2 linked regions of the Arabidopsis thaliana genome follow. The protein of the gene in region 2 binds, or shares a complex with, the protein of the main gene of each other region. Each region holds a gene or a part of one and is shown on either strand. Other genes may lie near its edges.

Evidence for each region. Proteins that work in one complex are often made in the same cells at the same time.
Region 1: EMB3126 (region 2) and RPL9 share a complex: the UniProt entries of both Arabidopsis thaliana proteins name them as parts of the 50S ribosomal subunit.

Annotation. Positions count from the first base shown.
Region 1 is NC_003074.8:16,384,418-16,388,170, forward strand, and holds the start of RPL9 (ribosomal protein L9), read left to right. Parts: upstream 1-1,977; 5' UTR 1,978-2,087; coding exon 2,088-2,240; intron 2,241-2,574; coding exon 2,575-2,702; intron 2,703-2,858; coding exon 2,859-2,904; intron 2,905-3,045; coding exon 3,046-3,143; intron 3,144-3,226; coding exon 3,227-3,274; intron 3,275-3,425; coding exon 3,426-3,546; 3' UTR 3,547-3,582; intron 3,583-3,753. Other genes in the region: ACD1 (Pheophorbide a oxygenase family protein with Rieske 2Fe-2S domain-containing protein), read left to right, coding at 158-393, 488-614, 703-839, 923-1,082, 1,155-1,439, 1,533-1,787. UniProt on the Arabidopsis thaliana protein: Binds to the 23S rRNA.
Region 2 is NC_003074.8:23,442,118-23,445,870, forward strand, and holds the start of EMB3126 (Ribosomal protein L1p/L10e family), read left to right. Parts: upstream 1-2,085; 5' UTR 2,086-2,151; coding exon 2,152-2,481; intron 2,482-2,555; coding exon 2,556-2,735; intron 2,736-2,827; coding exon 2,828-2,882; exon of another isoform or gene 2,883-3,143; coding exon 3,144-3,271; intron 3,272-3,398; coding exon 3,399-3,482; intron 3,483-3,551; coding exon 3,552-3,677; intron 3,678-3,753. Other genes in the region: AT3G63480 (ATP binding microtubule motor family protein), read right to left, coding at 1-17, 97-172, 326-359, 443-484, 561-654, 727-752, 835-957, 1,045-1,074 and 3 more. UniProt on the Arabidopsis thaliana protein: This protein binds directly to 23S ribosomal RNA.

The DNA.
Region 1 (3,753 bases), 7.1 Mb from region 2:
ATAAAATATTAGGGTCAGAATCAGAACAGTTTTGTGTTGTTGTTATTGTTATGACTTATGAGCAAAAAGAAGTAAACTTTGTTGTGTATGTAACCAAAGTTTTGAGCTTGACTCATTGATGTGTTTGTGTATGTGTTGATGCATTGTGGTTATGTAGGAAGGAAGGTTGGATGAGAATGGACACTTGCAATGTTCGTATCATGGATGGTCATTTGGTGGGTGTGGATCTTGCACTAGGATTCCTCAGGCTGCTACTTCAGGTCCTGAAGCTCGTGCTGTTAAATCCCCGAGAGCTTGTGCTATTAAGTTCCCGACAATGGTGTCTCAAGGTCTTCTCTTTGTGTGGCCTGATGAAAATGGTTGGGATAGAGCCAATTCAATTGAACCCCCTAGGTAACGAAAATGATTATCTTCTCAGGCTTCCATGAACATAGCATACTCGTTTTATTACTCGTTTTATTAAATGCGTTGATCTTTAACATAAAAGGTTGCCGGATGATTTCGATAAACCGGAATTTTCGACGGTGACAATTCAAAGGGATCTTTTCTATGGATATGATACTCTCATGGAAAATGTATCTGATCCTTCCCATATAGATTTTGCTCATCACAAGGTGTTGTTTTCTTTCTCAAAGCTCCCAATGTGTTTGCATTTCCACTAAGGGATATTATCCTCAGGCGATGATTACGTGTTGTAAACAGGTTACAGGAAGAAGAGACAGAGCCAAACCATTGCCGTTCAAGGTGGAGTCAAGTGGGCCTTGGGGTTTCCAAGGTGCGAATGATGACAGTCCAAGGATAACCGCAAAATTTGTTGCTCCGTGCTATTCTATGAACAAGTGAGTGTTGAGTTTGCTCACTATACATAATAAATGGTTAGCATACAGTTGCATAGAATGAAATTGTGTATCCTTGTCTACAGAATTGAGTTAGATGCGAAACTACCAATCGTCGGTAATCAAAAATGGGTCATTTGGATTTGCTCATTCAATATACCAATGGCTCCAGGAAAGACCCGTTCCATCGTTTGCAGCGCCCGTAACTTCTTTCAGTTCTCTGTACCAGGACCAGCTTGGTGGCAGGTAAAACAAACTTTGATTCCATCTCTAATCCGATTTTACTACGTAAATTCTTCTGAAGCTGTTCCTTGTTAGGTTGTACCAAGATGGTATGAACACTGGACTTCGAACTTAGTCTATGACGGAGACATGATCGTACTTCAAGGACAAGAGAAAGTATTCCTCGCTAAATCAATGGAGTCACCAGACTACGACGTGAACAAACAGTACACAAAGCTCACATTCACTCCAACCCAGGCAGACCGTTTTGTTCTAGCATTCAGAAACTGGCTCAGACGGCATGGTAAGAGTCAGCCTGAATGGTTCGGCTCCACCCCGTCTAACCAACCTCTCCCTTCCACTGTCTTAACCAAGCGTCAGGTGAGCCATCAATCATGCATCCTAACATCATTTGATTGATCTCTATATATATACAAACACATGTCTGAAAACGTGACAAATTTGAACAAACAGATGCTAGATAGATTTGATCAGCATACACAAGTATGCTCTTCCTGCAAAGGAGCTTACAACAGTTTCCAAATCCTCAAGAAGTTTCTCGTTGGCGCGACGGTTTTCTGGGCCGCCACGGCTGGTGTTCCTTCTGATGTTCAGATTCGACTGGTTCTTGCTGGTTTATCACTGATATCAGCTGCTTCTGCATATGCTTTACATGAACAAGAGAAGAACTTTGTGTTTAGAGATTATGTACATTCTGAAATCGAGTAGATTTGTTGTGTATATGTATAATCATCATACAAAGTACAAACATTGTAAATCAAAATCCAGAGGAACTTTTAGCACTATAAAACCGATTTAACCGTTAAATTTTGGGTACTCAATTGAACTTTATAAAACTTTTAAGTAAGAAAACAGAAAAGTAGAATAATTACGGGGTCAAATTCGAAACATAAGAAAAACATTCGTCACTTCACTTGAGCAAGCACACGAAAAGCCGATAAGAAGATAACAATTACTACAACTGTGCGCTCTTGTTATCTCTGCTTTGAAGTGAAATCAGCTTTGGCTATGGCTTCTTCGACAGCTTTGTCTCTCTCATGGAGCTCCTCTCCTTGTTGGTCACACAGCTTCAATGGCGGTGCAAATGAAACCCTAAAAGTATCTGAGCGAAGGTTCAATTTTGAAGTTGTTTCCCAGAAGAAAGCTAAGAAACTTCGCAAGGTAAAAGTCATTACCTTTCATGGGTTTCCTTCAAAAATTTGATTTGGCTTTTAGTTAGTTTTTGATTTGAGCTTGTGTTTCTGAAGAATTTTGGTGGAGATGAAAGTAAAAGACTTGAAGATGCTTAATTTATGGGTTTAGTGTAAAAACATCGTCTTTGTTCTTGTATCAGCGTAGTTAGGAAGAAAGATGAATCAACATTAGAAAAGTAGACGCCTTTATATTACCAGTTTAGTTTCAAGTAGTGAAGATAAATTGGTTTGAAGCTTTGTTTCTGTGTAGAGAAATGGAGTAAGTGAAACACTAATGGTAAATCTTGTTTTGTGTCTTTAAGGTAATTTTGAAAGAGGATGTGACGGATTTGGGTAAGCAAGGGCAATTACTTGATGTGAAAGCTGGATTTTTCAGAAACTTCCTCTTGCCTACTGGAAAGGCTCAGCTTATGACTCCACTTCTGCTCAAGTAATTCACCTCAACTTCGAAATTTCCGTTCGCTTTTGTATGCTCTTACTATTCGGTTCTAAGGCCTTTGTATTTCGAGGGACTTTGCTACAATGTTGTAAGATCAACAAGAAAAACATCATTTTCTTTCTTTTTGTGTGTGTGTTTTTCCCCCAGGGAATTGAAGATGGAAGACGAACGGATTGAGGCAGAGAAGCAAAGGGTAATCTGATATGAATACATTGATTGTTTTTATTTGATCATCATGTAAAGTTTTGGTGTTTGAGTGATCACCAAAAAACTCTTTGGTTATTGATTTTCATCTGTTTGTTGGTTTTTTCTTTGCGTGGAACCTTTTTTGCAGGTGAAAGAAGAGGCACAACAACTGGCGATGGTATTCCAAACCGTTGGTGCTTTCAAGGTTAAACGCAAAGGCGGTAAAGGCAAACTGATATTTGGATCGTAAGTCCTACTTAAGCAAATCTAGATTTTAACAGTCTTGAGAATAGTGTTTAGCCTGTACTTAACTTTATATTTTCCTGCAGTGTCACAGCTCAAGACCTCGTCGACATCATCAAATCACAGCTCCAAAAGTAACAACATAGAAAATTTTACATTTCCACATAAAAAGCTACAAGCTTTCTCATGTGGGCGGTTTAGTTGGATCAGTCTACATTTGGTTTTTAGTGTTGTTCGAAGAACCTAATATGGTTTTATCTGCTTCTCTGTGGCTGTGTTTTGCAGGGACATCGACAAACGCCTTGTCTCTCTCCCAGAAATCCGTGAAACCGGAGAATACATAGCCGAACTCAAGCTTCACCCCGATGTCACTGCTCGAGTTAAGATCAATGTTTTCGCTAACTAAACCTTCAACGATTCAAGACTCCTACTGCATCCCAAGGTATTTCTTGATTTTCCATGATCATGTGGCTTTTAACCATAAATGAAACTAAGTATTAGTTTTGTCTTAGTTCGTGTCTTAATTGGCATGAAATAAGTAGTTAAACCGATGTTCTGAACTCTGAACATCGGCATATAAACATTGGTCGGGAATATTGGCTGTTGAACGGAG
Region 2 (3,753 bases):
GTTTTCCTGTTTTTACCCTGTTCACATGCCAGATATGTATATAAGCTCCACCACTACAGCATCACTTTTTTCTGATTAATTGTAAAAAATCGTTACCTTTTATCTTTAACTGAATCCTGCTGGATTGTGAACAAGTAGGCGCAGTGGCTTCTACTGCTGGACATATTCATTTCTGTCATTCATTGTTAAACTGGAAACATTCTTCAAGATGACTCTCAATCAGTTTTAACCTTTCAGTCAACTCGGAGTAGCATAATCATAATCTCACTATCGACTAAATGGGGAAACATTGAACAAGTAAGTGCTGTAAAAGCTAAGAGGATACGGGTTTCCCCAACTGCGCGGTTAGCTAAACCGGTCTGAAATGGCAATTGGCATCAGAAATAAGAAAGAAGAAGGCCGTATAAGGCAATTAAGAAACTTAGGGTAGCTGCTATCTTACGCATAGATGTTGTAATGCCTCCACCGAATCTGATACAGGCACCTGAAGCAACGAATGATTAAAACTTGCCTACCCAGTAAAGATTTTTCTCAACACTAGCAAATAGAAGATATAAGACAATGAAGCTAGCCTCTGTAACGCCTGACAAGAGTATTCCTTGTGTTTTGTTCTCCTTGATCTGTATGTTTGCTTTTGATAAGTCCAACAGGTCCCTGAGAGATATATGAATTTATCGATAAGCTATATACCCTAGAAGAAATCAGAGGGAATTACATACACAATACCTGACTTTCTCCATGTAGATCTCAACCTAGAGGAGACAAAAGACACGTAAGATGTCTATACAGGAGAGCTTGAAAGGAGACTTATAGCAAGTGCATTTAAGTCAGTACCATAGACAATTTAACAGTGTATCTTGCAATATCATTGGAAGAGCTGATTTGCTCAAACATCCCATGGACCACTCTTGGAAGAAGTCCTTTATTGTGCTCATCACAGTCCTGGATGCCTGGTCCCTGAATCAATCGAAGAAAACCAAAATGAGCCAGAAGAAGGAATGGTCCTTGTGCTACAGGAAGAGGTATCAAGATGAGTTAGGTGACCTCCATGGAATAAGTCTTCCCAGCCCCTGTCTGCATAGTATAACATGAAACGATCAAATTGAGATCAAAATCTGCCAAATTAAGAAAAAGACATTGAAAGCATTTCCAGATAAAAGAGATCAGGAGAAGAACAAACCTGTCCATAAGTGATGATTGTTCCGTTTATACCATTTACAGCGTCTGAAAGTAGTAGTAGTAGTACAAAGGTAAAAGATGCAAAAGACAAAGGTAGGAGGAAACCAAAACCAAAAATGTTGATTACATTGTAAAATCATAAGATTGGTGCTCAAATGTTTAGATCTAAAATCCAGAAGAGAAGATCAAGGAATCAATTAGTACCTCTCATGATGGGGAGAGCCAGAAACTCATAAACCGCAGCTTGGGTAGAGTCCTCATAAAAAACTCTATCGAGGCTAAATGTAAATTCATCTTCCTTGTCATCCTACACGCAAGTAAAAACGCTAGATAGAGTTTGAGAGACAGAGAGAGAGAGACAATATTAATCAAGCACACGGCGTCGAGTAGACAAACTTGGAAAACGAAGGTTTCAGCGTCGATGGGTCGAGCACAGACACCATCTCTGCTGGGATCGCGCATCTCTTTAGAGCTTCGCGGCCTGAATCGCGCACAGACGGTTACGTTAGACATCTCCTCTCCTTATCGGAACGAGCTCAGTCTACAGTGAAACACCCAAAATGAGTCAGCAGAAGATGAATGAAATTGGGGAAATAGTAGCACAGGAAATTTGAAGCTGAGAGAAAAGGAATCGGAACTTACCTCTCAAATGGAGTGGAGAGTCAGAGTAGGGTTTCTCTTACGGGCGGGAAAGAAGAAACTCGAAATCTGATTTTTGAGAAAAGAGAAGGAAGAAGAAGAAGGAGAAGGAGAAGAGGTCACGAGGATACGCGTGTGGGTTGTTAAAAGATCTAATGGTCCATAAGAAGACACGTGTCACTAGGAACACGGTAGCTAAGGTGCCCGCCACGCAGAGAATAATAGCTTAGAAAGAATAGGGGGTGTTGTTATCCCCTTGGGCGTGGAGTGGATTAGGGAGACTCGCACTCTTCTTCTTCTTCTTTGTACCCAGAAAGAAAGAGAGCTCCAACAATGGCTGCTTGCGCTACTCACTCCTCTCTCATGCTAGCATACGCCGCCGCATCCACTCGTTCCCAGGACCTTACCCCTACTCCATCTCTTTTCTCTTTTGCCAGCTCCAGACCCAACCACTTGAGCTTCCCGCTTCTTCTCCTTGGGGGTTCCAGGGACCGGAGATGTGCTGCTATTGACAGAGCTTCCAACCACAAGTTTATTGTCTCCGCCGTGGCCGCTGAGGCTGACCTCGACACGGAGGAGGACCTGGAGCAGACCGCCACCGCCGTCCTTGATCCGCCCAAGCCTAAGAAAGGAAAAGCCGCTTTGGTTCTCAAGAGAGATAGAGTATGTGCTTTACCTACTTCAATTTCGCTTCCTTTACTCGTGAATCATCACTTTGTTTGCTTACCCATTGACAGACAAGGTCTAAGAGGTTTTTGGAAATCCAAAAGCTAAGGGAAACCAAAAAGGAGTATGATGTCAACACTGCTATCTCTTTGCTTAAACAAACTGCCAACACAAGGTTTGTTGAGTCTGTTGAAGCCCATTTCCGTCTCAACATCGATCCTAAGTACAATGACCAGCAGCTGCGTGCAACGGTCTGCTTTGCCTTTTGCTGGATATACACTCTATCTTGTGCTGCTTCATTCCACAACATTTTTTAATCTCAATGCATTGTCTTTTTGTATAGGTGAGCCTGCCTAAGGGAACTGGCCAGACTGTTATAGTCGCTGTTCTTGCACAAGGTATATTGCCCCACCAAATTCACTGCTAGGACTTAGGACAGAGATTATGCTTTACCATTTCAGTCACCAAATTCACTGTTAGGACTTAGGACAGAGATAATGTTTACGGTATCAGTCAGTCAGTCAGTACTTCTCTAGATGCAACATTGTTTGGTGCGATTGACTTTTTATTTATATATTGATTGGATGGAGTTCTTGTGTATCATGTGGCTTATTCTTTCTAAATCTTTGGCTTGCACCATTTCCATGCTGAACTTCCAGGTGAGAAGGTTGATGAAGCCAAAAGTGCAGGGGCAGATATTGTGGGCAGTGATGATTTAATCGAACAGATTAAAGGAGGCTTCATGGAGTTTGACAAGCTGATTGCATCCCCGGATATGATGGTCAAGGTATGTGTTGATGATATAATGTTCTACTTGTTACAGCATATGAAACCGTCATGCTTGGCAAATAAGGTGGCATGAGATACTTGTAACTCGTGATCTATTTTCTAACATTCTTGAACTTGGCGCTTAGGTTGCTGGCCTGGGAAAGATTCTTGGACCACGGGGGCTCATGCCAAATCCCAAGGCTGGTACAGTCACAGCGAACATTCCCCAGGTAAGCCTACTCTGCAACATCTTTTCCTGATTCTGGTAGTCATGGCTTAAAGATGCATAAATCTCTCAGGCTATTGAAGAGTTCAAGAAGGGGAAAGTTGAATTCAGAGCAGACAAAACTGGGATTGTTCACATTCCATTTGGGAAAGTTAATTTTACAGAGGAAGACCTTCTCATAAACTTCCTTGCAGCAGTGGTAGGCTAATTCTCCATTCTTATTACGTATTTCTGTGGTTTAAAATACAAAAAAAAATGAAGAGGGAAAAGTAAAT